7 linked regions of the Callithrix jacchus genome follow. The protein of the gene in region 2 binds, or shares a complex with, the protein of the main gene of each other region. Links are inferred from orthologs where the notes say so. Each region holds a gene or a part of one and is shown on either strand. Other genes may lie near its edges.

The links.
Region 1: the proteins of RHOA (region 2) and ARHGEF11 are in contact, whole or in part, in a crystal structure (PDB 1XCG), measured with the Homo sapiens proteins. The link is inferred for Callithrix jacchus from reciprocal best matches to the Homo sapiens genes RHOA and ARHGEF11. Residues at the interface, in NP_001300870.1 of Homo sapiens: Arg5, Thr19, Val33, Tyr34, Pro36, Thr37, Val38, Glu40, Asn41, Val43, Asp45, Glu54, Ala56, Trp58, Asp59, Ala61, Gly62, Gln63, Tyr66, Asp67, Arg68, Leu69, Arg70, Leu72, Ser73, Pro75, Asp76, Pro96, Glu97, Pro101; in NP_055599.1 of Homo sapiens: Asn715, Gln717, His718, Glu737, Val738, Glu741, Thr745, Ser748, Ser837, Lys844, Arg867, Arg868, Leu869, Gln870, Arg872, Asp873, Ile876, Met879, Gln880, Arg881, Thr883, Lys884, Leu887, Leu888, Ser891, Arg914, Leu917, Lys918, Val920, Asn921.
Region 3: the proteins of RHOA (region 2) and ANLN are in contact, whole or in part, in a crystal structure (PDB 4XOI), measured with the Homo sapiens proteins. The link is inferred for Callithrix jacchus from reciprocal best matches to the Homo sapiens genes RHOA and ANLN. Residues at the interface, in NP_001300870.1 of Homo sapiens: Tyr34, Val35, Pro36, Thr37, Val38, Phe39, Glu40, Asn41, Trp58, Asp65, Tyr66, Arg68, Leu69, Pro71, Leu72, Pro75, Asp76; in NP_061155.2 of Homo sapiens: Met729, Thr732, Val733, Tyr735, Gln736, Ala737, Gln739, Ala740, Cys743, Cys744, Glu748, His749, Gly750, Ser753, Glu755, Glu758, Ala759, Leu762.
Region 4: the proteins of RHOA (region 2) and TRPV4 are in contact, whole or in part, in a cryo-EM structure (PDB 9IQX), measured with the Homo sapiens proteins. The link is inferred for Callithrix jacchus from reciprocal best matches to the Homo sapiens genes RHOA and TRPV4. Residues at the interface, in NP_001300870.1 of Homo sapiens: Met1, Ala2, Ala3, Arg5, Tyr34, Pro36, Val38, Phe39, Glu40, Asn41, Tyr42, Val43, Glu54, Trp58, Glu64, Asp65, Arg68, Leu69, Leu72, Pro75, Asp76; in NP_067638.3 of Homo sapiens: Lys177, Arg179, Thr181, Glu183, Glu184, Arg186, Pro188, Arg224, Glu225, Asn228, Ser229, Pro230, Arg232, Arg237, Asp263, His265, Ala266, Gln267, Arg269, Asp313, Arg315, Arg316.
Region 5: the proteins of RHOA (region 2) and RAP1GDS1 are in contact, whole or in part, in a crystal structure (PDB 5ZHX), measured with the Homo sapiens proteins. The link is inferred for Callithrix jacchus from reciprocal best matches to the Homo sapiens genes RHOA and RAP1GDS1. Residues at the interface, in NP_001300870.1 of Homo sapiens: Ala3, Ile4, Arg5, Lys6, Asp13, Lys18, Lys51, Asp65, Tyr66, Asp67, Arg68, Leu69, Arg70, Pro71, Leu72, Ser73, Tyr74, Lys98, Trp99, Pro101, Glu102, His105, Phe106, Leu179, Cys190, Leu191; in NP_001093897.1 of Homo sapiens: Arg111, Tyr118, His121, Ser171, Glu200, Met201, Val204, Asn208, Glu211, Leu212, Glu213, Ala249, Glu253, Lys290, Thr291, Asp294, Leu295, Val297, Leu298, Leu301, Asp303, Leu334, Leu338, Ala341, Asn342, Ala344, Arg345, Asn346, Asp347, Cys350.
Region 6: the proteins of RHOA (region 2) and ROCK1 are in contact, whole or in part, in a crystal structure (PDB 1S1C), measured with the Homo sapiens proteins. The link is inferred for Callithrix jacchus from reciprocal best matches to the Homo sapiens genes RHOA and ROCK1. Residues at the interface, in NP_001300870.1 of Homo sapiens: Val38, Phe39, Asp65, Tyr66, Arg68, Leu69, Leu72, Pro75; in NP_005397.1 of Homo sapiens: Lys999, Val1003, Asn1004, Leu1006, Ala1007, Met1010, Asn1011, Arg1012.
Region 7: the proteins of RHOA (region 2) and ARHGEF2 are in contact, whole or in part, in a crystal structure (PDB 7G9I), measured with the Homo sapiens proteins. The link is inferred for Callithrix jacchus from reciprocal best matches to the Homo sapiens genes RHOA and ARHGEF2. Residues at the interface, in NP_001300870.1 of Homo sapiens: Arg5, Lys7, Lys27, Gln29, Val33, Tyr34, Val35, Pro36, Thr37, Val38, Phe39, Glu40, Asn41, Tyr42, Val43, Asp45, Glu54, Trp58, Asp59, Ala61, Gly62, Gln63, Tyr66, Asp67, Arg68, Leu69, Leu72, Ser73, Pro75, Asp76; in NP_001155855.1 of Homo sapiens: Asp215, Ser216, Ser218, Leu219, Asp238, Val239, Glu242, Thr246, His249, Cys342, His345, Ser346, Leu349, Lys353, Lys376, Arg377, Gln381, Glu382, Leu385, Leu386, Thr388, Gln389, Ile391, Thr392, Lys393, Leu396, Leu397, Arg400, Lys423, Leu426.

What each region holds. Positions count from the first base shown.
Region 1 is NC_133519.1:17,337,781-17,341,280, forward strand, and holds part of ARHGEF11 (rho guanine nucleotide exchange factor 11), read right to left. Parts: intron 2,595-3,500; coding exon 2,504-2,594; intron 1,783-2,503; coding exon 1,657-1,782; intron 1,224-1,656; coding exon 1,162-1,223; intron 272-1,161; coding exon 50-271; intron 1-49. UniProt on the Homo sapiens protein: May play a role in the regulation of RhoA GTPase by guanine nucleotide-binding alpha-12 (GNA12) and alpha-13 (GNA13). Acts as guanine nucleotide exchange factor (GEF) for RhoA GTPase and may act as GTPase-activating protein (GAP) for GNA12 and GNA13.
Region 2 is NC_133516.1:31,978,357-31,981,856, forward strand, and holds part of RHOA (transforming protein RhoA), read right to left. Parts: intron 2,092-3,500; 5' UTR 2,090-2,091; coding exon 1,934-2,089; intron 1-1,933. UniProt on the Homo sapiens protein: Small GTPase which cycles between an active GTP-bound and an inactive GDP-bound state.
Region 3 is NC_133512.1:5,117,874-5,121,373, forward strand, and holds part of ANLN (anillin), read left to right. Parts: intron 1-1,053; coding exon 1,054-1,207; intron 1,208-3,500. UniProt on the Homo sapiens protein: Required for cytokinesis. Essential for the structural integrity of the cleavage furrow and for completion of cleavage furrow ingression. Plays a role in bleb assembly during metaphase and anaphase of mitosis.
Region 4 is NC_133510.1:112,687,495-112,690,994, reverse strand, and holds part of TRPV4 (transient receptor potential cation channel subfamily V member 4), read left to right. Parts: intron 1-390; coding exon 391-689; intron 690-2,780; coding exon 2,781-2,960; intron 2,961-3,394; coding exon 3,395-3,439; intron 3,440-3,500. UniProt on the Homo sapiens protein: Non-selective calcium permeant cation channel involved in osmotic sensitivity and mechanosensitivity. Activation by exposure to hypotonicity within the physiological range exhibits an outward rectification.
Region 5 is NC_133504.1:99,090,162-99,093,661, forward strand, and holds part of RAP1GDS1 (rap1 GTPase-GDP dissociation stimulator 1), read right to left. Parts: intron 2,526-3,500; coding exon 2,386-2,525; intron 1-2,385. UniProt on the Homo sapiens protein: Acts as a GEF (guanine nucleotide exchange factor) for the Rho family of small GTP-binding proteins (G proteins) that stimulates the dissociation of GDP to enable subsequent binding of GTP.
Region 6 is NC_133514.1:63,928,613-63,932,112, forward strand, and holds part of ROCK1 (rho-associated protein kinase 1), read right to left. Parts: intron 2,376-3,500; coding exon 2,187-2,375; intron 1,339-2,186; coding exon 1,179-1,338; intron 1-1,178. UniProt on the Homo sapiens protein: Protein kinase which is a key regulator of the actin cytoskeleton and cell polarity.
Region 7 is NC_133519.1:16,342,360-16,345,859, forward strand, and holds part of ARHGEF2 (rho guanine nucleotide exchange factor 2), read right to left. Parts: exon of another isoform or gene 1,826-3,500; intron 1,263-1,825; exon of another isoform or gene 1,210-1,262; coding exon of another isoform or gene 1,171-1,209; intron 964-1,170; coding exon 819-963; intron 1-818. UniProt on the Homo sapiens protein: Activates Rho-GTPases by promoting the exchange of GDP for GTP.

The sequences.
Region 1 (3,500 bases), on a different chromosome or scaffold from region 2:
CTGTGTGACTGGGGACCAGAGGCTGACGCCAGGGCCTTGAGGCACTCACCATCTTCCAGAGCGGAATCAGCGAGGCCTTCCATGAACAGAGGGCCTGGGAAGGCCAGGTGGATGGGGTTCCTTGTCCTGACTCCCCGGTTCTCTCCATCCAGGGATGTGGAAGGGCAAGGCAGGACACCCAGCTCCTCCTCCTCCGCACTGCCCTCCTGCTCAGGGTCCTCGAGTAGGACCGGGTGCTTCCCTTGGACCCTCTGCTGGGGCCCAGTACCTGCTTTGAATGAGAGAAGACTGCCAGGCGGGGAAAGGGAGAGGGCACGTATGGGAGAGCCCATGAGCAGCTTTGGAGCCAAGGGGCTGGGAACACCGATTCATTCTACGGTTGGTCACTGGGCACTTTGGCCGGCACTGTCCCAGGCTCTAGGCATACAACAGTAAGCAAAACTAAAAGATCCCTGCCCATGCGGAGCATACATTCTAGTGGAGGGACATACAAAAATAAGACACTTCAGTCAGTTATGCAGATTGTTAGAAGGCGGTAACTTCCACGGGAAAGAAGAAAGCAACAGAGTAGGGCATGGGGGCTGGTCAGTGCTGGCGTTAAACAGATTGGGCGAAGGGGACACTGGAACAAAGACGCGATGAAGGTGTGGCGTTGGGAGGAAAAGCATTCTAAGCAGAAGGAAACAACAGGGACCCAGCCAGGAAGCCTGAGACTTCTCCTCAAACCCAAGACCCCAGGTTACTTTACACACAAGCTCTCAATGAGAATGTCGTCCCCTCTACCAATCCCATCACGTAAGTGCATCTGAAGCGCTTTGAGTGCCCTGGCCCCCCATGTTTCCCATCCTTGTAGCTGCAGCATGCATCTCTCTCCCCAGCAGTAATCCCTGGAAGATGCAGGGGACCCCACCAGGCTGCTCCTCTTCCCCCATGGCTGACGCCATCACCCAGAGGCTGGGTGGGAATCTCTGGTCAGGTGAGTGAGCTCACACTTGCCTGTCTATTCAGTCTGCTCTCCTTCCTCCTCCAGACTCTTTCTCCCGCCCCGTTTCTTCTCTACTCTTCAAAACCTCACACCCTGGGCCCTGATGGCCTCTCCCATCGCCCCCATACTCACACCCAACCTGCACTGGCTCCCACCACACAGTTCAGGGCCCTTACCTCCAGGCAGCTCCTCAGGTTCAGGTTCACCATGGAACACGTCTGAGTCATCCAGTTCTACCCTGAAGGAGGAAACCAACCCAGGGTGAGATGTCATGCATGAGATTCCATCCGGGACTCCTGTGTTAGGATGGGTGATGGAGTAGGATCTGAGGACGGTGTGGGGCCTCCTCATCTGGCTGGTTTGCATGGCAACCCGGTGAGGAGGGGGGCTGCTGGCTGAGCTTCTCTGGTCCCCTGCTCTACACCCCAGTCACCCTACTTCAGGCTCAGGCTGTATTATAGCCGGGTGGCAGGCTGTGGGGGGAACAGACAGGGATAGGAAGCAGGGACAGGGGGCATGTTCCTCCATCTGCCAGCGCTTGGAGCTGTCTGTTCCCTGCTAGCATTTCCCTGTTGTGGCTGTCCACCCCTGGGGTGAAGGGCTTAGAAGCAGCAGGAAACAGGCGGTTTGGAGTGTAGAGAGTGTGGGGTCTGGAGGGCTAAGCGCTGCACCTGCTGGGTGTAGATCCCTGGTGGGCTGGCTCCTGGGGCCCTGGGGGTGGAGGATGGACAGGCATTGGGGCAGCTCCGGGGTGCCTGGTGGCATGCCGCACGGCCTCTTCTAAGAGCTCCATCCATCTGTTGCTCAGCAGGAACAGAGAGGACTGTAGTGAGAGCAAGACCACGGCACACACCACCCCCATGCTGAGCCCACTGCTTCAGGGCTTCCAGGTCCTTCTTCAGGCCCTAAGGACCCTCTGCCTGGCAGGTGCCCACCTCCCCGTACAGTTCTCCCTGGCTGCTCCCTTGGGGTTATATTACTTGTAGCTACCAAATCCTGGACACCAACCCTCTGCTACATTCTGTGCAAAGCCTTCTGTTTTCTCTCTAAAGTAATTCTCTAACAGGGAGCATTAGCCACATTTTACAAATGAAAACCCTGGAGGTGGGAAACGGGTTGACTCCAACCGCCCCCTTCCACTGCACCACGCCACCTCTGGTGGCTGCTGTCAGATAACATGGGCTGGGTGGGAGGCAAACGCCTGAGAAGGATGCATGAATCTAATTCGCCTGATGGTGAAGGGAGTAGGGCAGGAAGCAGAGAAGCAGCAGCAGCGGCTGCGGCTGGAAGGCTGCCAGGAGCTCATTCTCCCAGAGGCGGGCCTAGTGACCAGGTCAGGGGTTATGACCCCTCCCAGTTTCTCTTATTCTGTCCTACCACCTCCCACTTCCCTTCCCAACTCCCTGTCCAGGGACTGCTCTGGGGCCCAGCCCTGGCCTTGCTGTCCACCGTCCTCATACACACCACCCTGGTCCCAAGGGGACCGCAGTTACGGATGACCCCTCAATCAAGTCTCACGTGTTCTTGTCTGATGACGTCAATGCAACCAGCTCATAGATCTGGGGTGGGCCCAGCTTGGAGGTGCAGATGATGAAGAAGGCCCGTTTATCTGTGTGAGGAAAGGAAGGTAGAAGGGCCTGTACTAGGGACGGCAGGTGTGACTAAAGCCTGGGCCAGGGTGGCAGAGTGGGACCCAAAGCCCTGACCCTCAATGAGGATGAAGAATGCAGCATGAGGCAGAGATGAGTCATCGGGACCACTTGGAACCCACTTACACAAGGGACAGAGGAAATTCCAGGACCCCTAATGTCACCTTTCACAGCCACCACCATTCCTTTCACACTCTAATAATAGTGATGGCTGACGTGTGTATGGTGCTTAGGACTGACAAAATGGTTTTTTTTTTCTTGAGACAGAGTCTTGCTCTGTCGCCCAGGCTGGAGTGCAATGGCGAGATCTTGGCTCACTGCTACCTCCACCTCCTGGGTTCAAGTGATTCTCCTGCCTCAGACTCCCGAGTAGCTGGGATTACAGGCACCTGCCACCACGCCTGGTTAATTTTGTTGTTTTAGTAGAGATGGGGTTTCACCATGTTGGCTAGGCTGGTCTTGAACTCAAGACCTCAAGTGATTTGCCTGCCTTGGCCTCCCAAAGTGCTGGGTTTGCAGGCGTGAGCTGCTGAGCCTGGCCAGGAGTTTATAAAACTTTTTCATACCCGTCATCCCTTTTGATGCCTCCAAGAGGTAGGGTAGGTATCACTCCTATCTCACAGATGAAGGAAGTGAGCCCAGAGAATTTGGTTGCCTGACTCTTGCTCCAGAGCCCTTTCTTACACACACGGCACTTCTCACTGAAATGCCTTTGTCCAGTGGTCCCAGCTCTGTACCGCAGGTACTAACATCTAACATCTTTTGGAACCAAGCTCTGCTCAAGTCACTGTTGCAGCACAAAGGGGTGTCCTACTCATCCCGCCTAATCCCATTCCTCCCAGTCCTGCTTACTCTTACCCCATCCT
Region 2 (3,500 bases):
CAAACACACAAAAAAAACCTAAAATAAAAAAAAAAAAAACAACCCTCCAATTCCAAAAGAGCTTTGTTCCAGTCTTAGCAGAGGGCTTTTAGGACAGAAATGGGAAGCACTGTTCTCACCATCAATGACAAAATAAAACAATTGTGGCAGCCTGCTTTATGTTAAAGTTAAAAAAATGTTTTAAAATTAAATGTAAGCAGCTGGGTTCCATGGCTCACGCCTGTAATCCCAACACTTTGGGAGGCCGAAGCAGGTGGATCTAGAAGTCAGGAGATAGAGACCATCCTGGCTAACACAGTGAAACCCTGTATCTACTAAAAATACAAAAAAATAGGCCAGGCATGGTGGCTCACGCCTGTAATCCAAGTACTTTGGAGGCCAAGGTGGGCCAACCACCTGAGGTCGGGAGTTCAAGACCAGCCTGAACAACATGGTGAAACCCCGTCTTAAAAAAAAAAAAAAAAGAAAAAAAATAGCTGAGCATTTGAAGATGATTTGGTGGAACAACAACAACAAAAAATAGCCAGGCGTGGTGGCACACACCTGTAGTCCCAGCAAGGCTTGAGTCAGGAGATTCACTTAAACCCAGGAGGTGGAAGTTGCAGTTAGCCAAGATAGTGCTACCGCACTCCAGCCTGGGTAACAGAATAAGACCCCATCTCAAATAAAAAAAAACAAAACAAAACAGGCTGATGTTATGGTTCATGTCTGTAATCCCAGCACTTTGGGAGGCCGAACTGGGTGAATCACCTGAGATCAAGAGTTTGAGACCAGCCTGACCAACATGGAGAAGTTCCATCTCTACTAAAATACAAAATTAGCTGGGTGTGGTGGCGCAAACCTCTAAAACCAGCTACTCGAGAGGCTGAGGCAGGAGAATTGCCTGAACCCCGAAGATGAAGGTTATGGTGAGCCAAGATCATGCCATTGTACTCCAGCCTGGGCAACAAGAGCAAAACTCCATCTCAAAAAAAGAGGTCCTGGCACAGTGGCTCATGCCTAAAATCCCAGCATTTTGGGAGGCTGAGGTGGGCGGATCACCGGAGGTCAGGAGTTCATGACCAACCTTGGCCAACGTCGTAAAACCCCATCTCTACTAAAAATACAAAAATTAGCCAGCCGTGGTGGTGCATTCCCGTAATCCCAGCTACTGGGGAGGCTGAAGAGGGAGAATTCCTTAAACCCGGGAGGAGGCTGGGTGCAGTGGCTTACTACTGTAATCCCAGCACTTTGGGAGCCCGAGGCAGGTGGATCACCTCAGGTCAGGAGTCCGGGACCAGCATGGTGAAACCCCATCTATATTTAATACAAAAAAATTAGCTGAGCATGGTGGCACATGCCTGTAATCCCAGCTACTTGGGAGGCTGAGGCAAGAAAATCACTTGAACTCAGGAGGCAGAGGTTGTAGCGAGTTGAGATCATGTCATGGCACTGGGTGACAGAATGAAACTTAGTCTCAAAAAAACAAAAATAATAAACTTTTCTGGACACAGTGGCTCACACCTGTAATCCCAGCACTTTGGGAGGCTGAGATGGGCAGATCACGAGGTCAAGAGTTGAAAACCAGCCGGGCCAACATAGTGAAACCCCATCTCTACTGAAAAGACAAAGAATTAGCCAGGGGTGGTGGTGGGTGCCTATAATCTTAGTTACTCAGGAGACTGAGGCAGGATAATCACTTGAACCTGGGAGGCGGAGGTTGCGAAGAGCCAAGATCATGCCATTGCATACCAGCCTGGACAACAGTGCAAGACTCTGTCTCAAAAAAACCCAAACAAACTTGGACTAAGATGGCAGTATGAGAATGGATTATTCTTTCTAACATTTTTGTTACACTGTATACTGAAATAGCAAAAAGCTCTTAGTTCTATACATGCTCTGTGAATAATCTAACACAGAAAATGGCACCAGTTGTTATGAAAAGTATACTCACCTGTTTTCCATCCACCTCGATATCTGCCACATAGTTCTCAAACACTGTGGGCACATAAACCTCTGGGAACTGGTCCTTGCTGAAGACTATGAGCAAGCATGTTTTTCCACAGGCTCCATCACCAACAATCACCAGTTTCTTCCGAATGGCAGCCATTGCTGAAACACAAACCACAGGATTATCTGGAATGCACAAGAAGCCATAGGTAGCCTCAGGCTATGACACGTGCTTTTTTAACCATGGGGCATAAGCCTCTAACAGCATTCTCAAATTCACAATTCTAGTATACTGATCCATCTGGCACCAAAACGTTATACAACAAAACCTCATAACATTTTATACTTAATGGTAAAACACTGAAAAGAAGGTCAGCTCCCTAATATCAGGAACAAGACAAGGATGTCTGTTCTTGCCACTCCTTTTTTTTAAGACCGAGTCTCACTTTGTCGCCCAGGCTGGAATGCACTGGTGCAATCTTGGCTCACTACAACCTCGGCATCCTGGGTTGTGCCTCAGCCTCTCAAGTAGCTGGGACTACAGGTACACGCCACCACAACCGGCTAATTTTTGTATTTATAGTAGAGACAGGGTTTCTCACCATATTGCTCAGGCTGGTCTCAAAACTCCTGACCACGTGATCTGCCCACCTAGGCCTTCCAAACTGCTGGGATTACAGGCGTGAGCCACCGCATCTGGCCTGTTCTTGTCACTTCTACCCATCAAGATACTGAAAGTCCTAGTCAGGGCAATAAGTAAATGAAATAAAAGACACCCAAATTGGAAAGGAAGAAGTAAAACTATCTCAATTCATATATGAGATGATCTTACAATGTGGGAAATCCTAAAGAATCATTAAAATACTTTTAGAATAGGCTGGGTGCAGTGGTTCACACCTGTAATCCCAGCACTTTGGGAGGCTGAGGCAGGTGGATCCCCTGAGATTGGGAGTTTGAGACCACCCTGACCAACATGGAGAAACCCAGTCTCTACCAAAAATACAAAATTAGCCAAGGGTGTTGGCAAATGCCTGTAATCCCAGCTATTTGGGAGGCTGAAGCAGGAGAACTGCTTGATCCCAGGAGGCAGCGGTTACGCTGAGCTGAGATCACACCATTACAGCCCAGCCTAAACAACAAGAGCAAAATTCCATCTCGAAAAAAAAAGAAAAAAGGGAAAAAAAAAACCTTTTAGAATAAACAAGTTCAGTCAGGTTGCAGGATACAATATTAACATTAAAAAATGAATTCAGTTGAGGCCAGGCACAGTGGTTTTTATCTGTAATCTCAACACTTTGGGAGGCTGAAGCAGGAGGATTACTCAGGCCCAGGAGTTAGAGACCAGCCCTGGCAACACAGTCAGACACTGAGAAAGGAAGGACGGAAGCCTGAGAGGGGAGGGAAGAAAGAAAAGGGCCAGGCAGAGAGTGGCTCACGCCTGTAATTCTAGCACTCTGGGAGGGTGAGACAGGCAGATTGCTTCAGAGTCCAGGAGTTCAAGACTAGCCTGGGCAATGTAGTGAAATCCTGTATCTACTAAAAATACAAAAAAAAATTAGCCAAGTGCGGTG
Region 3 (3,500 bases), on a different chromosome or scaffold from region 2:
ACATGCAATTTCATGCATCCCGTGTTCACTTTGGGGTGGAGACTTAACATGTCATTACAGTTGGGCTCTGTATGTCAAAAGGTGAGGTGGGGACATGAAGGCACTCAAGTGAGTAGCCTCTGTAAACTGGCCGGAAGCAGTCCATGATTGGTGGTCTTCTTATTGAGAACTCTGATCTTCCTGCCTCTCTGTTTTCCACTGTAAGGACCTTTGTGATAATGTTGGGCCTGACCAGATAATCCAGGATTATCTCTGTCTAAAGATTCTTAATCATATCAGTAAAATCTCTTTTGCCCCATGAGGCAACATCTTCATGGGTTTAGGGTATCAGGACAAAAAAAACCTTTGAGAGACCATTATTTTTGCCTACCCTAGTGGCTTAAAACAATATTCTTTTTCTCGTGATTCACTGAGTCAGCAATTTGTATTGTGCTCAGCCAGGCTGTTCTTCTGTTTGTCTCTCCAGTGGTCAGGGAGGAATCTTCAGTGATCTGGCAGATTATCTGGAGCTGGATGGTCTAAGATGGCCTTATTCACATGTCTGGTGGTTGATACTGACCATCAGCTGGGCCATGTGTCTCTAGTGGACTTAACCTGGGCATGTTCACTTAGTGGCAGAGAGAGAAACCCCATGTTTCTTGATGCCTGGAAGGCTCACAATATCACTTTTGCCATATTTTATTGGTCAAAGCAGATTTATGAGCCCAGATTCAAGGGTGAAGAAATAGATTGTGTCTTTTGATGAAAGCAGAAAGAATTTGTGGCCAATAAAAATCTCATATAGCTAACTTTACACATTTTATTCCCCCTGTCATGTTCCTATAATAATTATGACACTGGGGTGCTCATTTAGTGAATCCTGATGTAACTGATTAATATTTCACTTTTGAAATATGTTTAACTGGCATCCTTTATGGCCACTGGTGATTTTAGAAGATGTTGCAATTTTGTAAACATTTGATTAAACGGTGTTTTTTGCTTGTTTGTTTTTATTTGCTTCTTGCTACTTATGCATAAACTCATGTTTTAACACTGATGTATTTATGTATGTAGAAACTGCTGGAGCGAACCCGTGCCAGGCGAGAGAATCTTCAGAGAAAAATGGCTGAGAGGCCCATAGCAGCTCCGAGGTCTATGACTCATACGAAGCGAGCCAGAGAGCCGCTTTCAGAAGCAAGTAACCAGCAGCCGGTCGCTGGTGGTAAAGGTAAAAGACTTTGGGGAAAAATAACATTTGCTTTTTTTTTTTTTTTTTAAAGGAGACAAGACCCAAACATTTCTCTAGCATATAGAAAAACCAAGCTCTTCGGGAGACAAATATAACAGCCTCTGGGGGAAATAACAGCCTTCTATTTTTTTTTTTTTTTTTTTTTTTGAGACGGAGTTTCGCTCTTCTTACCCAGGCTGGAGTGCAATGGCGCGATCTCGGCTCACCGCAATCTCCGCCTCCTGGGTTCAGGCAATTCTCCTGCCTCAGCCTCCTGAGTAGCTGGGATTACAGGCACGCACCACCATACTCAGCTGATTTTTTGTATTTTTAGTAGAGACGGGGTTTCACCATGTTGACCAGGATGGTCTCGATCTCTTGACCTCGTGATCCACCCGCCCCGGCCTCCCAAAGTGCTGTGATTACAGGCTTGAGCCACCGCACCCGGCCCAATAGCCTTCTATTCTATTTCAGGGTTATTAGGTCTAGAATCTATTGGGTTGGAATAGCGTTTCTTCCAACAAATATTTTAAATTAATTGATTGAACTTTTTTCTTCAATCTGAAGTTATCATTAAAAACTCAAGGGAAGAAAAATAGAGGAGTAGTGCAACATTTATACTTACCATAGCACGGAGTTGTTGTGGCCATTGAAAAGCTCATATAGCTAATTTTTACACATTTTACTCCCCTGTAATGTTCCTATAATAATTTTGACATTGGGGTGCTCATTTAGTGAATCTTGATGTAATTGCTTAATATTTCACTTTTGAAATATTAAGACAGAGTCTTGCATTATCACCAGGCTAGAGGGCAGTGGCACGATCTTGGCTCATTGTAACCTCTGCCTACTGGGTTCAAGGGATTCTCACACCTCAGCCTCCCGAGTAGCTGGGATTACAGGCACGTGCCACCACACCCAGCAATTTTTTTATTTTTAGTAGAGACAGGGTTTCACCATGTTGGTCAGGATGGCCTCGACCTCCTGACCTCATGATCTGCCCACCTTGGCCTCCCAAAGTGCTGGGATTATAGGTGTGAGCCACTGCCTCCGGCCATGTGGAGTCTTATCCCAAGGGCGACAGAACAGCTGACTACTGAGTTCGAATGGTGTCTTTGGTACGGGCAAGGCAACGGAAGGCACACTGCCCATGCTTTACATTTAATGAGCCTTTTTCATCCTCTGTTTGCTGAACCAGCTCTCTAAAGTTTAGATTGTTAATCTCCAGAAGTGGTGGAATTGAACAAAAACAGGCGTGCGCACACACACACAAACACACACGAGCACACACACACACACACACACACACGCCTGTAGCCCTACTCTTTCCTAAATCCTGGCCTTCCCAACCAGTGTCAGCCAGACTCCTTAGTCTTTTCCTGGAGTGTGGAATAGTCTGGAGATAACAATCTTCCTTAGTACAACTGTGAAATACATACAAATAGAAAAAAAAATTACAGAGGGCAAAACCAATGTTAAAAAAAAAAAGCAGAGAAGAGTACATGGGGCTAGCTCAGTTATTTTGGAAGCTAACCATACAACAAGAATTACTTTTCATACATTTATCCATTTTGAAGGGAGAGTGAAGGAAATACATCACATATTATATGGTATTCAGCCAGGAAAATAGGGGCCTGGCCCTGGTCTTAGCCCTAGAGCTTCTGTGCTCACTGTGAGATGGGTCTGTACTATTGAGTACTATGTATTTGAAAACTAGAGTTTGGATGCTGAGGTCAAAGTTCAAAACTACGTTTTGACGTTTAGCCGGAAGTTCACATTTACTGTTGTAGATCGTTGTGAACTAGAGTTCTGTATTTCCAGATGCTGTTGTATGTTAAAGTAGGGACACTTTCAAAAATGGCTAGATGTGTTCACAGGAAATAAATCCACAAATGAGTTACAGAACATTAGAACATTTCAAAAATAAACAAAGGAAAAGATAGGAAAGTCAGGTGTGGTGGCCCACACCTGTAATCCCAACACTTTGAGAGACTGAGGTGGGCAGATTGCTTGAGCTTGGAGACCAGGCTGGGCAACATAGCAAGACCCTGTCTCTAGAAAAAATACAAAAATTAGCTGGGCATGGTGGCACATCTATAGTCCCAGCTACGCAGGAGGCTGAGGTGAGAGGATCGCTTGAGCCCAGGAGGTCAAGGCTGCAGTGAGCTGAGATTGCACCACTGCACTCCACCCTGGGTGACAGAGTGAGGCCTTGTCTCAAAAAAAGAAAAAAGAGAAAAAAGAGTGGAGTAGGAAAACAATAGGTTGGAAAGTTTCATGATGTCTATTTACT
Region 4 (3,500 bases), on a different chromosome or scaffold from region 2:
ACCTGTAATCCCAGCTACTCGGGATGCTGAGGCAGGAGAATCGCTTGAACCTGGGAGGTGGAGGTTGCAGTGAGCTGAGATTGCATCACTGCACTCCAGCCTGGGTGACAGAGTGAGACTCCGTCTCAGAAAAAGAAAAAAGAAAAAAAGAATTCCATCATTGGATGTGTCCAGTCCCTCACAGCTTCCAAGTAGCATGCCTGTACCCTTAACCAGCTACCCTGCATCTCCCCGGCCTCACCCAGAGAAACGTGCAGTTCATATCTGCTGCTGGCCCTGTCTCCGTCGTCACCCTCAGAGTGCCACGGTGTCTGCCCCGCAAGCGTCTGCAGGCAGAGCCCCACCCCAGGCCCCCTTCGCTGACCTCCCCCCCTCCACCCTGGCCCGCAGGGGAGCTGCCCCTGTCGCTGGCTGCCTGCACCAACCAGCCGCACATTGTCAACTACCTGACGGAGAACCCGCACAAGAAGGCGGACATGCGGCGGCAGGACTCGCGTGGCAGCACGGTGCTGCATGCGCTGGTGGCCATCGCCGACAACACGCGGGAGAACACCAAGTTCGTCACCAAGATGTACGACCTGCTGCTGCTCAAGTGTGCCCGCCTCTTCCCCGACAGCAACCTGGAGGCCGTGCTCAACAATGACGGCCTCTCGCCCCTCATGATGGCTGCCAAGACGGGCAAGATTGGGGTGAGTGTGGGCGGGGGCACAGCTGATCCACCCACTCATACCCCTCCACACACACACAAGGCTCTGCTGCTGGGATTCATCATTAATATGTGAATGCACCTCCCAACATGTCAACACCAGTGTGTGAATGTACCAGCTCAGGAGCCTGCTGTGGCTCCCTGGTGTAGAGCCAAGCTGCTTAGCTTCATCCTTGAGACTTTCACTTCATGTCACCCTATGGGATGTTCACCACCCCACTCCCACCAGCCAGGATGAGCCACTGATAGGAAACTGAGTTGCAGGGTCCTAGCGCAGCAGTGGTTCCAGCTTCAAGGCTGCTGAGTGGCCCTGTGCCAGTTCCTTTCCCTCTTCGGGCCGCACAGTATAGGGCCTGAAGGGTTTCTTAGCTTCAGGACGGTTATTTTGCCGGATGATGACCTGAATCCCGGCTTCTACACACCAGATGCCAAGAGCACCTCCCTTTACACTTGTGACCACCAAAAATATCTCCAGGCCATTGCTGAATTGTCCTCGGGGCAGCGTCGCCGTGATTGGGAACCAAGTCTTGAGTTCCCTAGAGGGAGGAGACCGGTCCAAGCCCTCCCACTTCCTAGTGTGTGACCTCAATGACCAGCCTCTGCCTCCCTCTCTTCTATTCCTTTTGCATCTCCCTTTTCTGTGCCTCAGTTTCCTTGTCTATAAAATGGGGATATAAGAGTGCCCTCTGGTGTAGTGTCATGGCAGTTAAATGAGGTGATCCACATAAGGCTCTTAGGGAGGAGACGGGGAGAGGCAGTAAATGCTCAGTGAATGGGGGGTGGGGACTATTACCTGGCGGGCATGGTGGCACATGTCTGTAATGCCAGCTAGTTGGGAGGCTGAGGTGGGAGGATCATTTAAGTCCAGCCTGGGCAACATAGTAAGATCCCAAATAAAAATAAACAAACAAAAAATAAAAATAAACATTCAGCAAAAATTACTAAAATTGTGATTATACCAGGGTCGTGAGGCAGTATAAAGGCTCGGGTTTAAATCCTGACTTCAGCTGGGCTCAGTGGCTCATGTCTGTAATCCTAGTACTTTGCGAGGCTGACATGGAAGGATTGCTTGAGCCCAGGAGTTTGAGACCAGCCTGGGCAATATAGTGAGACCTCATCTTTACAAAAAATAGAAATAAATTAGCCAGGCACAGCAGCATCTGCCTTTGGTTCCAGCTACTTGGGAGGCTGAGGTTGGAGGATCACTTGAGCCAAGGAGGTTAAGGCTGTGGTGAGCTGTGATAGTGCCACTGCACTCCAGCCTGGCCAACAGAGCCAGATCCTGTTTCAGAAAAACCCCTAAAATCCTGGCTGGGCATGGTGGCTCATGCCTGTAATCCCAACATTTTGGGAGGCTGAGGTGGGTGGATCACCAGAGGTCAGGTGTTCGAGACCAGCCTGGCCAACCTACCGAAACCCCATCTCTACTAAAAATGCAAAAATATTAGCTGGGTGTGGTGGCGAGCGCCTGTAATCCCAGCTACTCGGGAGGCTGAGGCAGGAGAATTGCTTGAACCTGGGAGGCGGAGGTTGCAGTGAGCCGAGATTGCGCCACCACACTCCACCCTCAGTGACAGAGCAAGACTCCATCTCAAAACAAACACAAACCCCAAATCCTAACATTGCCCCATGAAACCGCATGACCTTGGTTAACTCCTACCTCCTCTCTGTGCCTCAGCCTCCCTGTGTGTAAGCCAGGGAAGGAGGAGCGATAACAGGAAGGACCGCAGATGATTGGCAGTGTTATAATTCACATATTATTAAGTTGGGCTCATTGCTATTTTAAAGGCATGAGGAAGATATTCATTACAATTAAGATGGTGAAAGCTCGCCTAGGTCCCGTCTGGCTCCAGCTGACTAGTTATGTGGCTTCTGGAGCACCCTTCATTTTTCCCAGCCTCCACGTCCTATCTGTAAACCAAGACTATAAGAGCAAGAATTAAGATGAGGAAGGGAGGGGTCCTCCGGCAGCCGGGGCTCAGCTGTTTTCTGGGGAGGTGTCACGTGCTGAACTGGGCTCAGCCCCGGGGGCCTCTCCAGTGTGAGACCCTGACCCTCCTGGTCCCCTGTGCAGATCTTTCAGCACATCATCCGGCGGGAGGTGACGGATGAGGACACACGGCACTTGTCGCGCAAGTTCAAGGACTGGGCCTACGGGCCAGTGTATTCCTCACTTTATGACCTCTCCTCTCTGGACACTTGTGGGGAAGAGGCCTCTGTGCTGGAGATCCTGGTGTACAACAGCAAGATTGAGGTGGGCATCAGGACGGGGCATGGGGTGCAGGGAAGGAGGGGCCAAGCTGGGATGGGACTTGGGCGGGGCTGGGCTGGGGGAGAGAGCCCAGGCCTCTGGGCCCCAACATGGTGGATATGTTGGCTGAGTGCAAGAGGAGGTGCCAATGAAGTGCCCAGAACAGTGTCTGGCATGTGAGGAAATGAGCAAGGCTTGTGGGAAGGTGGGCTTTTGGGGCAGATAGGACTAGCTTGGGATCCTGGCTCTGTAACTTACATGCTGTGTGTCTCAACTTCCTTGTTTGTGACCTGGGGATAAGGACTGTGCATATACCGTGGGGTTGTTGGGAGGACCTGAGGTTAAGTTTAGAATGGCCTGGCACAGAGTAAACATCGTCAGCTATTAGCATTCGTGGTTGCTATATGAACTTTTGAAAGCTCTTTTTTTTTGGCCAGGCATGGTGGATTATGCCTGTAATCCCAGCATTTTGGAGGGCCAAGGTAGGTGGATTGCTTGAAGCCAGGAGTGTGAGACCAGCCTGGGCAATGTGGTGAAACCCTG
Region 5 (3,500 bases), on a different chromosome or scaffold from region 2:
TTTGAGATTTTTTTTTTTTTTAAGCCCATCGGCTATTGTTAGTGTTAGTGTATTTTATGTGTGGTATGGCCCAAGACAATTCTTTTTCCAGTGTGGCCCAGGGAAATCCAAATGATTGTACATCCCTGAAAACCACTGGTGGAGATTTTCTTGGAGTAGAGCAAAAAGATTAAGGATAATGACTCAAAGAGCATGAGAGAGTTTAGGGAGTGTTAGCTGCACCTCTTCCTATTATGTTTTATTTTGATGAATGGCATGATAGGCCAGTCTGGTGGTAAGCCCAAAACTTGGAATTATCTCTAAAACCACCTCCTCCTTTAATCTACTGTTGAATCTATCAATTCTACCACCTATGGCTTTCTCAAGTCTGTCTCTTCTTTTCCATCCTCATGCTACTAGTTGAATAAACCATAGAAATTTGTGTCAAAAATGGCTGAATATCAGCAATTTCAAATTGCTCAACTCAAAACCTTAATTCAGTCCTTTATCATCTCTCATGTCTATTTTTGCAATAACTGTTTTTTCTACCCCCATTAAACCCTAGATACATCTTTCAAAATGAAAACCAAATAATGGCACCTTGCTGCTTAAAACACTTTAAGTGCTCCCAAATTCTGTAAAGAATCAAATTCACATATCTTAACTTGGTATACAATTCACTCAATTCACAGTTTTCAACCTCTCTGGCCACTGTCTCTCTCCAAACTCTATGTTCCAGCAATACTGATTTATTTGCAGTTTCCTTCTAAAATTATGTTGTTTTACATCTCTGTGCTTTTGTACATCCTGTTGTCTTTCCCTGAAAAGGCCCTTTCCTCCATTCTCTTTTCCTTCTTCTCCTGAGAGATTTCTAGTTAACCTCTAAAATAGCACTCCTTCTGTGACACCATCCCAGAGCACCCAGTGTGTTAGTCTTTCTTTCCTCTGCTACAACCAAATAGCATTTGTAGCTTTAATGCTGTACTGTAGCTGTTTCTGTCAGTCCCCTCAATAGACAGTTAATTCCTTTACAGAAACACTATCTTGTAGTATTTATACTGCAATAACTCAAATATTAACTGTTAAACAAAAAAATGGGCCTGAGAGAGCAGTTATGATGGAGAAGGGGTAAAAGGGGTACCAAGGAGGCCATTTTGTTATCCTCTCTTGATAACATCCATCTTGCCAACATACTACTTGGTCCTGTATCAATGAAAATGTATGAACTTTTAGGGTGGTCTGGGTGAGACAGGCAATAGGAAGGTCCTAGTTAACAGCTGCTTTTCCCCAGGGAAAGTTCTCAAGATTTAGTATCTGATGGGGAAGAACACTCCTGAGGCTAACCAGCTGGGACAGCTATTATGGCGAAGCCAATTATTTATATGAAAGAGATTTATGCAAGTCAAGAACAGCTTTACTTTTACGCTTTTTCTCTTGGCATCTTCTTATCTGTTCTAAAAATAAATGAAAACAGCTGGTGGATTTAAGTTCTAAACTTTCTCTTCATGTATAATCGCTACTGAAGTGTAAAAGAGAAAAGATTGAAAGGGTCACCTTAGAAAACAGTATTAAAGGCTGGGTGTGGTGGCTCATGCATGTAATCCTGAGGTGGGCAGATCATGACGTCAGGAGTTTGTGGCCAGCCTGGCCAACATCGTGAAACCCCGTCACTACTAAAAATAAAAAAATTAGCCAAGTGTCGATGGCACGTGCCTGTAATACCAGCTACTCAGGAGGCTGAGGCAGGAGAATTGCTTGAACCCAGAAGGCGGAGGTTGCAGTGACCTGAGATTGCGTTATTGCACTCCAGCCTGGGTGAGGAGAGTGAGACAGAGCAAGAGTCTCCTTTTGAGACAGAGCAAGACTGTCTCAAAAAAAAAAAAAAAAAACCAGTATTAAAAAAATTTTTTAAGTATATAATCTAGATACTAAATCAACTGCTGAACTGCTGCTGGGTACTCACTATTGTGATCTTTAAAATAGTTCATTTGTTCATTCATTGGTTATCTACCATGTGCCAGACAGCTGCACAGCCATAAGAATGTATTTTTTTCTAACTTTCTGAGTTCTGGGCATCATATACTATAGATATCATTTAATTTCTAAATATTAGTAGCCTGCATGGTCAATGCCTGGCACAAAGCAATGTTTGACAATGATGCTGATAATGGTGGTGGTAAAAGTAATAACAATAGCAGCAGTGACAGCAACCTCCATTTAGTGTTTCCTATGTCCCATGTACCAGCTGAGCACATTATATATATGATCTCACTGAATTTTCACGAACTTTCAGGTAAATACTATCCCTAATAATATTTATCATTATTGTTACGACCTACCATGCTGGGTTTCTAAAAAAAAAGACACTCTAAAGTTTTCTAGTGCAGAGTTTCCTCTGGAACTTACTTTTGATTTACTGTGTCGTATAAGGGCAGACAGCAGTCTGTTTGACTCCCCCATCACACCAGCATGATCTTTGGCTTCACACCATTCCACCAAACGCTCCACTAACTTAACATTCTTTCCCAGTTGTTCAGCAGCTTCTGCTATAGGAAGAAGGCAAACCAAGGAATGAATCACTAACAATCAGCTGAAATAATTCGTAAAGATTTAAGAGTGTGAAGGAGAAGTATGTCTAAAAAAACACAGCACAATAACTTCATTAAAGCTAGAACTGCAAATACTCCTTATGTGATGGGCTATTTGGCTTTTTCTGTAACACTGTGAAATTTGATACAAAACACAAAAACAAATGACTTCATACTCTTTTGGTTAAGCCTGCTAATCTGCCAGTGCTCTGGCAGACTAGAGTGCGGAGTTCTTAGAAGGAGTCTATGCAATAAATATAGAAAGAGGTTTAGAACTTAGAAATAAGTAAATAAACACAATTCATTCCTAGGAGTGGTTTTGACTGCTGTTTCTGCAAATAGAAAAATGTTCTCCCTGTCTGCAAGACAGATTTTTAAAATTTTTGACTGTCACAATAATGAAATTTGATTTCAAAGCCAAGGTAAAAATGGGTATAGAATGTCCAAAGCACACAACCTCCCCACCCCACCAGAAACTGATAATAAAGCAAACTAAAACCAGGATTATAAGTACTAACAAGTAGAGATATGGTATAATTTCTATTTAAAGTCACTTATAGGCTGGGCGTGCTGGCTCATGCCTGTAATCTCAGCACTTTGGGAGGCGGAAGTGGGTGGATCACTTGAGGCCAAGAGTTCAAGATCAGCCTGGGTAACATGGTGAAACCCCATCTCTATTGAAATTCCAAAAAAAAATTAGCCAGGAGTTGTGGAGCATGCCTGTAATCCTGGCTACTGAGGTAGAAGTTGCAGTGAGCTGAGACTGTGCCACAGCACACCAGCCTAGGCGACAAAGCAAGACTCTGTCTCAAAAATAAATCGTCAATTATAACAAGCACACAAATTAATAAATGTTTCCAAAACCAATTTTATAATCTTTTATTTGCTGTTTATTTTTATGATTACATAATCCTGAAAACTAAAAACGAGTCC
Region 6 (3,500 bases), on a different chromosome or scaffold from region 2:
TGAATCCCACTTTCTTGACCAAGAAAGATACTATAAAATTTTCTGACTCATCTAGTTCCTTATATCAAACTCACAATAACAAGTAATATCTGTTAAAACAGAATCCCTATAACATCAAACATGCTGCTTCAAAATATCTTCCTATTTATGTATTATTCAGAAAATACACTAATTAAATCTACTTTCGAGTTTATGACCATATAAATAAAACTTCCAAGACCCTGAACTAAGACTGTACAGTATTTCAAATCTATATATATGTAAATACATGTTATTAGGTTATAATCTATTCATTTCATTTCTTTCTTTCCTTTTTTTATTAATTTTTTTTTTTAAGACGGGATTTCACAGTGTTGCCCAGGCTGGTCTCAAACTCCTGAGTTCAGGCAATCCACCCACCTTGGCCTCCCAAAGTGCTGGGGTTATAGACGTGAGCCACCACGCCTGGCCTATTCATTTCGTTTCTAAATTGAACTTACAGTATGTATATTTCTCATCTCTATAAAGTACATATATGTCCTATAGTTTACATGGTGATTAAGCCAAGAATGAGGCTGTGTTTAATTTAAATTGATTCTCCACTGGGAAAAAGAAGACACAGAAAAAAGTCTGAAATCTTAGCCACTCATTCCTGCCTTTATTTGACCTCCCTGGCCTCTTACTGCACTGCCCAACCCCTTTTATCTATTTCTCCAAACCTAAAACTTAAAGTCTGATTAAAGTTGATCACTATTCCACTAAATAGGCTTCTATACATAGGTGCTGTGGTTCTGATGATAAAGTACAGTTTTTAGTTTTAGCACAAGAATAAATAAAATGTTAAAGAGCTATTACTCACAAAAACGCACAACTTTTAAAAATAGTGCAATGTGCAGCAGCAGCTTTGACTCTCACTGTGGACTTAGGGTGCTCAAAATAGATTCATAAACCTCTTATGGTTTTTATTCAGGTGGAGCTTCTTAGGTCTATTTAAATAGCCTAAGATTACTTACAACTGCTTCTACTCCACAAAATACACCAAGTATACAATCATCATCAGGCTTTGGCTATCAGAAATAAGAATTCCTTCTTAGGAATCCATGGACAAAATGACAAGGAGGTAGAAAACCAAATGAAAGAAATATACATTAATTTCCATGACATTTATACATGTTTGAATGATATGGAATTATTCTTACCTGGGAGGTTCCCATCAGTTTCATCAGCACTAGGAAAACTAGCAACACTTGTAGAATCTGAGAGGTCCAAAAGTTTAGCTCGCAACTGCTCAATATCACTCTCTTTGCTGGCCAACTGCATCTGAAGCTCATTCCTATGTGCACATTCTTCTACCAATTGCTATTTTTGAAAAGTATCAAGATAATATAATCAAGCTAAAATAATTTCCAACATTAATTGAAATATGGCATGTAATTTAAACTAATACTAAAAATGTACAGTAAACTTCATGAATGTTTGCTACCACAGATTTTGATACACTACAGAAATGTCAAGTTCTTTCTCAGTAATAAAATAGCTCAGACAAATTCCTCTTCTCCTTGCCTTAAAAAGAGTTTTTGTTTTCAAACATAAGCCATCAAAACAAAAAAGTTAAAACAATTGAAAATGCTTTTCTGGCTCCAAATGAAGTAGCTTTAAAGGTATAGAAAATTTAAGAAAACCGTAATTGATGGAGCTAAAAAGCTTCGTGCTAATTGCCAGAGACCAGGATCTCAATTTTGCTCTATTAACAAGCCAAGAAGTATCAAAAAACTAAGCTTGCTATTTAGATTTCAAAAAAGTGGGTCCTGACTAGGGAAAATAAATAAGCTACAATACTTCAAAACCTCTACCCCAATTATAGTTAATATTATAACAGCCATATCCCAATTTCAGTCTGAAACCAAACAGGCAGAACCCTTGATTGTCTCTTTCAGAATAGGGCCTCTAAATAAGCAGCTGCTAATGGGTAAAAATTACTCAAGCTACAATAACTATTAGGCAACAGAGCATCTTTCTAGTTTTTCAAGATCATGATTTATATTAGAGTAATAACGACTAAATTGTGAAGAGTATATACTAAAATATGCATTGTTAGATATAGGGAAACCCAATCTAAACAAGATAAATAGATAACAAGTATATACAGAAATAATTTAAGAAAATAAAACTTTACACTCATGTCTGTACACACACAGAAACCTTACCGCTTGCATGTCATTCAGTTCCTTCTGATGTTTCACTACCATCTGGTTGAATTTCTCTCTTTCTTGGTTGAGTTCCAGTTGTAGCTTTCGATTTTCCTTTTCTTTCTTTCTCAAATCTTGTGTATTAGCTTTCTTTCTATCAATTTTAAAATCTTTTCGATTCATTATTTCAGCCAACTTGTTAACAGCCTATTAAAATATTAATAAAGATCAATATTGTACTTATCCAATTTAATACACTAAAATGTGTTTTTTTCTTTAAATTCAGGAAGCAGGACTTTTTGTGTGTATGAAAATTAGGACAATCCAATGAAGGGTGAGATATAATAACTGGTAGCACAAGTAACTAACATTCACTTATTTTACTACTTAAATGTGAGCTTTATTTGGTTAACTTTACAACCCAGTACTAAAGCAACAATATGCTAACCCTACTCTGATGTTAGGTACTAGCAAATAAAGCTTCTATGCCGTGGCCACATACTCTTCTCTTCTATAACTATACAATATTAGTAGGCAAGTTAACTTTCTTAACTCAACTGAAATCCTATTTCTTTTTTTTTTTTTTTTTTTTGAGACAGAGTCTTGCTCTGTCACCCAGGCTGGCATGCAGTGGCACAATCTTGGCTCAGTGCAACCTCTGCCTTCTGAGTTCAAGTGATTCTCATGCCTCAGTCACCTGAGTAGCTGGTATTACTGGAGCGCACCACCACACCTGGCTAATTTTTGTATTTTTAGTAGAGACTGGGGTTTCGCCATGTTGGCCAGGCTCTTTTCGAACTCTTGGCCTTAAGTGATCTGCTGGCCTCAGCCCCCTAAAGTGCTAGGATTATAGGCATGAGCCACTGTGCCTGGCCTTGAAATCCTGTTTCACAAATAAGTTATTTATTTATTTTTTTGAGACGGAGGTTTTCCTCTTCTTATCCAGGCTGGAGTGCAATGGCGTGATCTCGGCTCACCGCAACCTCCGCCTCCTGGGTTCAGGCCATTCTCCTGCCTCAGCCTCCTGAAGAGCTGGGATTACAGGCACGTGCCACCATGCCCAGCTAATTTTTTGTATCTTTAGTAGAGACGGGGTTTCACCATGTTGACCAGGATGGTCTCGATCTTTTGACCTCATGATCCACCCGCCTTGGCCTCCCAAAGTGCTGGGAATACAGGCTTGAGCCACCGCGCCTGGCCAAATAAGTTTTTTATAGTTAACAGTGAAAGAATTTACATTATTTGTTCTGATGAAAAGCTTGAATCTTATACGCCTTGGTTTTAGGAAAAAGTGCAGAAAGAGCAACGATTAACTAAAAAATGAACGTATGT
Region 7 (3,500 bases), on a different chromosome or scaffold from region 2:
CTTTTGCCAACTATTCAGTAGCAGGTCACAATACCTTCAATCCTGCTCTAATCAGAGGCATTTCTGCCATAACTTCAGGAGGAAATGAGGGAGAGGGGGCAGCAGGAGCCCTCTGTGTAGGCATTCTGGGGAAGGAAAGAATTCCTGGCTTATACTCCCTAAAGACAGGGCTACACTCAGATCTGGATGACGGGCAGGGATTCTAACCCCTGCCCCCAACATACACATCCCTGCTGCATTCCCTCTTTCTCACTGTATAGTCAGACTAGAAATTTGAGATGAAGGGTCCTAATCCCATCTTCTGCTTGAAACATCAGAGGTTTCAGGCTCCACCCATAGGCAATAGAAAGGAAGGGGCAAGGGGACTGTGAAGTCCTGAATGCCCAGCTCTGCCCAGGAAGATGGGCAGAGCCAGCTGCAAGGCTGGCAGCTTTCCACCTAGTTCCTCTATCACCCCCCACCCCACTCCCTCCACACATACAACATTCCTGCTCCTTCTCCAATCAGTTCCCCTAACCCTTAGCAGCTGTTCAGGGAGCAAGAGGGGGGCCCAGTGGATGACAGCTGCAAGGGGAGCCAGCCCAGCCTCCCCTCCCCCACATTCCCAGATAGTCCGGCTTATGCTATATTCCAACAGCCACCACCCCTCAGCGTGAGGACAGGGAGCAAGGGATCAAGCATCTGGCCCTGGCATTTGGGCCCGGCTGGGGATGAGAGAGACGAATGATCCTCATGGGTCCAGGCAGATAAAAACAGATGCAAAGATCAGGGTCAGCGGGCACTGAGTCTGGGTGACTCTTAGGGTCCAAACAACTTACTTGGGCAGATGAGAGCTTCCTTGGCTGTGATGCTCTTGTTACAGGCATAGCACATGGTCATGCCTGAGACTGAAATGGTGGTGAAGAGGTGCCCGTTGGTATAGCGGGCATCCTTGGCTTCCTTCATCTTCTCCTTTTCCCGGGCCTGCGGAAAGGGTGAGAGGGAGAGGAAGTGAGGCTGGAAAATGCCAGGGTGCCTGGAGTCCAGAGGCAAGGAAGAAATGCCAGCCTGAGGAAAGACACCAGTTCCTAAAGCAGAGCCTGCAACTGGGTATCAGAGGCAGCTGTCCAGGAGTGACCAGGCCAGGCTCTGGGGCAGCCAGTCCAGACGGGTTCTGGGTCCCTGACCTACCTGGCCCCTGCGGCTGGGCTGCCTCCTATTGCCACTCATCTCCCTGGCTCGAGGTCTCTGCGTCCTCACTCCACCTTCCCAGTCCTAGCTCTGCTCGCCCCCGAGCTGCTGTACTCTCTTCTCTGTGCTAGGGGGAAGATGCGCAGAGAGGAGGGGAGAGCAGGCGAAGCAGAGGGTGCCAGCTCACCAGCGCTTTCCAATCTATGGGAGTTAGCTCCTCTTATAACCATGACAACCGATGTTGGAGCCGCTGTCTCCGTGGCAGTGGGGGGGGGAGCAGGAGATCCCCTTATTAGATTGGCTGAAGGGGGCAGAATGCCTCCCCCTTGCCACCCCCAAGCCAGAGGTCAGGATCCCAAACCTCTAGATCTTTTCACCAACCCTCAGCCAAGGAATACAGGCCTGTCTGGGAGGCAGCATGTCCCCTCATAACCTCAAGGCAAGGGCAGCTGCCTTTGGGTCATCCCTCCATTCTGAGATCTTTAAGTAAGGAATCTCAGCCAGCCATCTCGGTTGCTTTTGGCAGAAAATCTCTCCTGCAATCTGACTTTTATCCCTCTCATACTATCCTCCAGAGTTAAAATCTGGGAGAGTCCTCTTTTGCTCCTCACTCAACTGGGCTCTCCCATCCTAGGAAGTCCTTTCTGAGACCTACCCTCCATCCTTCAGTGCTGGTCTCCACAGATGGCGCACACCTTCCTCGGAGCCTCAGAGCCGGCCTTTCCCGACTCTGCTGTCTCCCATTTCCCCCAGTGTCCCTGCCTCTGCAAGTCGAGTCATTCTCCCTGACCTCCAGTCTGTCCCTCCTCAAGTCCCTACGCTTCCCAAAAAGTCTGAGAAGGCGAGAAGCGGGGGATATCACTCTCCCCACTATTCTAGGACCTTCCTCAGTTGTGACCCTGGATCTCTAAGATTTTCCCTCCGCTCTTGGAGGAGGAGTAGAAATTGACAAGACCACTCCCTCCAAGGTTTGCCAGGTTCTCAGAAATCAAAGAGCAGGATCCAGATGGCTGAGGGTGGAAGTCCCAAGACAGAGGCTCTGGGTTGGGGACAAAGAATTACAGTTCAGTGGGGAGCACTCAGCCCAGACTCTAGAAGACTAGTACTGACTCAGCCCAGGCCATGCTAGCAGCTGAGAGGTGGAAGAGGTAGAGTCTCACAGGCCTGGTGGTCAGGGCAGAAAAGGGTAAAAAGGGGAAGTGTGGAGGGGCTGAGTCAACAGTGCAGGGACGGAGGGCATGGGGCTGCAGTGCCTCGGGTCTCAGAGCTTCCTGGTGGCCCAAGATCCTTCTCTTTCCTGCCTTTCCTCCCAAGCTCCAGGTTTGCCTGATGACATGCAGAGTCCAGAGGTCTTTGGGTCAATCTCTTCTTCATTCTCCCCTCATGCATCCTCCCCACCCCCAATCATCCATTGTTCTCCTCCTCTTCCTCTTTCTCCTCCTCCTCCTCCTCCTCCTCCTCCCTTCTCTCAGGGTCTCCTTCCTGGGCTCCTCCCCCTCTGCCTTCCCTTTCTCAGCCTTGCTTCTCCGCCACTGTTCTCTCCTGCCCACGGCCTCTCCTCCTCTCCTCCTCACGCAGGCCAGCTGCTCCTCTACCTAAGCTTATTCAGGAAGCTGAGCTGCCTCTGGTCTCAAACTCAGAAACTGTTCTGGCCTCCTTTTTTCTATTCCAGTACCTACCTACTTGGACCACTAGAAAATGCTCCCTTTGGTCTAACCTCCACCTATCTTGTGCCAAATCATAGCTCTTTAGAAGTTCAAATTCAGGCTGGGCGCAGTTGCTCACATCTGTAATCCCAGCACTTTGGGAGGCCAAGGCAGGCAGATCACCTGAGGTGAGGAGTTCGAAATCAGCCTGGTCAACATGGTGAAATCTTGTCTTTACTAAAAATACAAAAAATTAGCTGGGCGTGTTGATGGGCACCTGTAATCCCAGCTACTTGGGAGGCTGAGGCAGGAGAATCGCTTGAACCCGGGAGGTTGGGGGTTGTGGTGAGCCGAGATTGGGCCACTGCAGAGTGAGACTCCATCTCAAAAAAAAAAGAAGTTCAAATTCACCTCTGAATAATAACCTCCCAGGATCTCAAAGACCAAGTCCAAATATCTCTTCCCACTGCCATACACTCTCCCTTTTCTCCTCTTCTCCTGCCCTTCCAGCCTTCTCTATGGCACAAATCCAAAGTTTGAGAATTTATCACATTTGAATTAAAAGCAAGAGGCCAGCGAGGCCGCTCACGCCTGTAATCTCAGCACTTTGGGGGGCTGAGGTGGGAGGATCGCTTGAAGCCAGGAGTTTGAGGACAGCCTGAGCAACACAGCCAGACTCCTGTC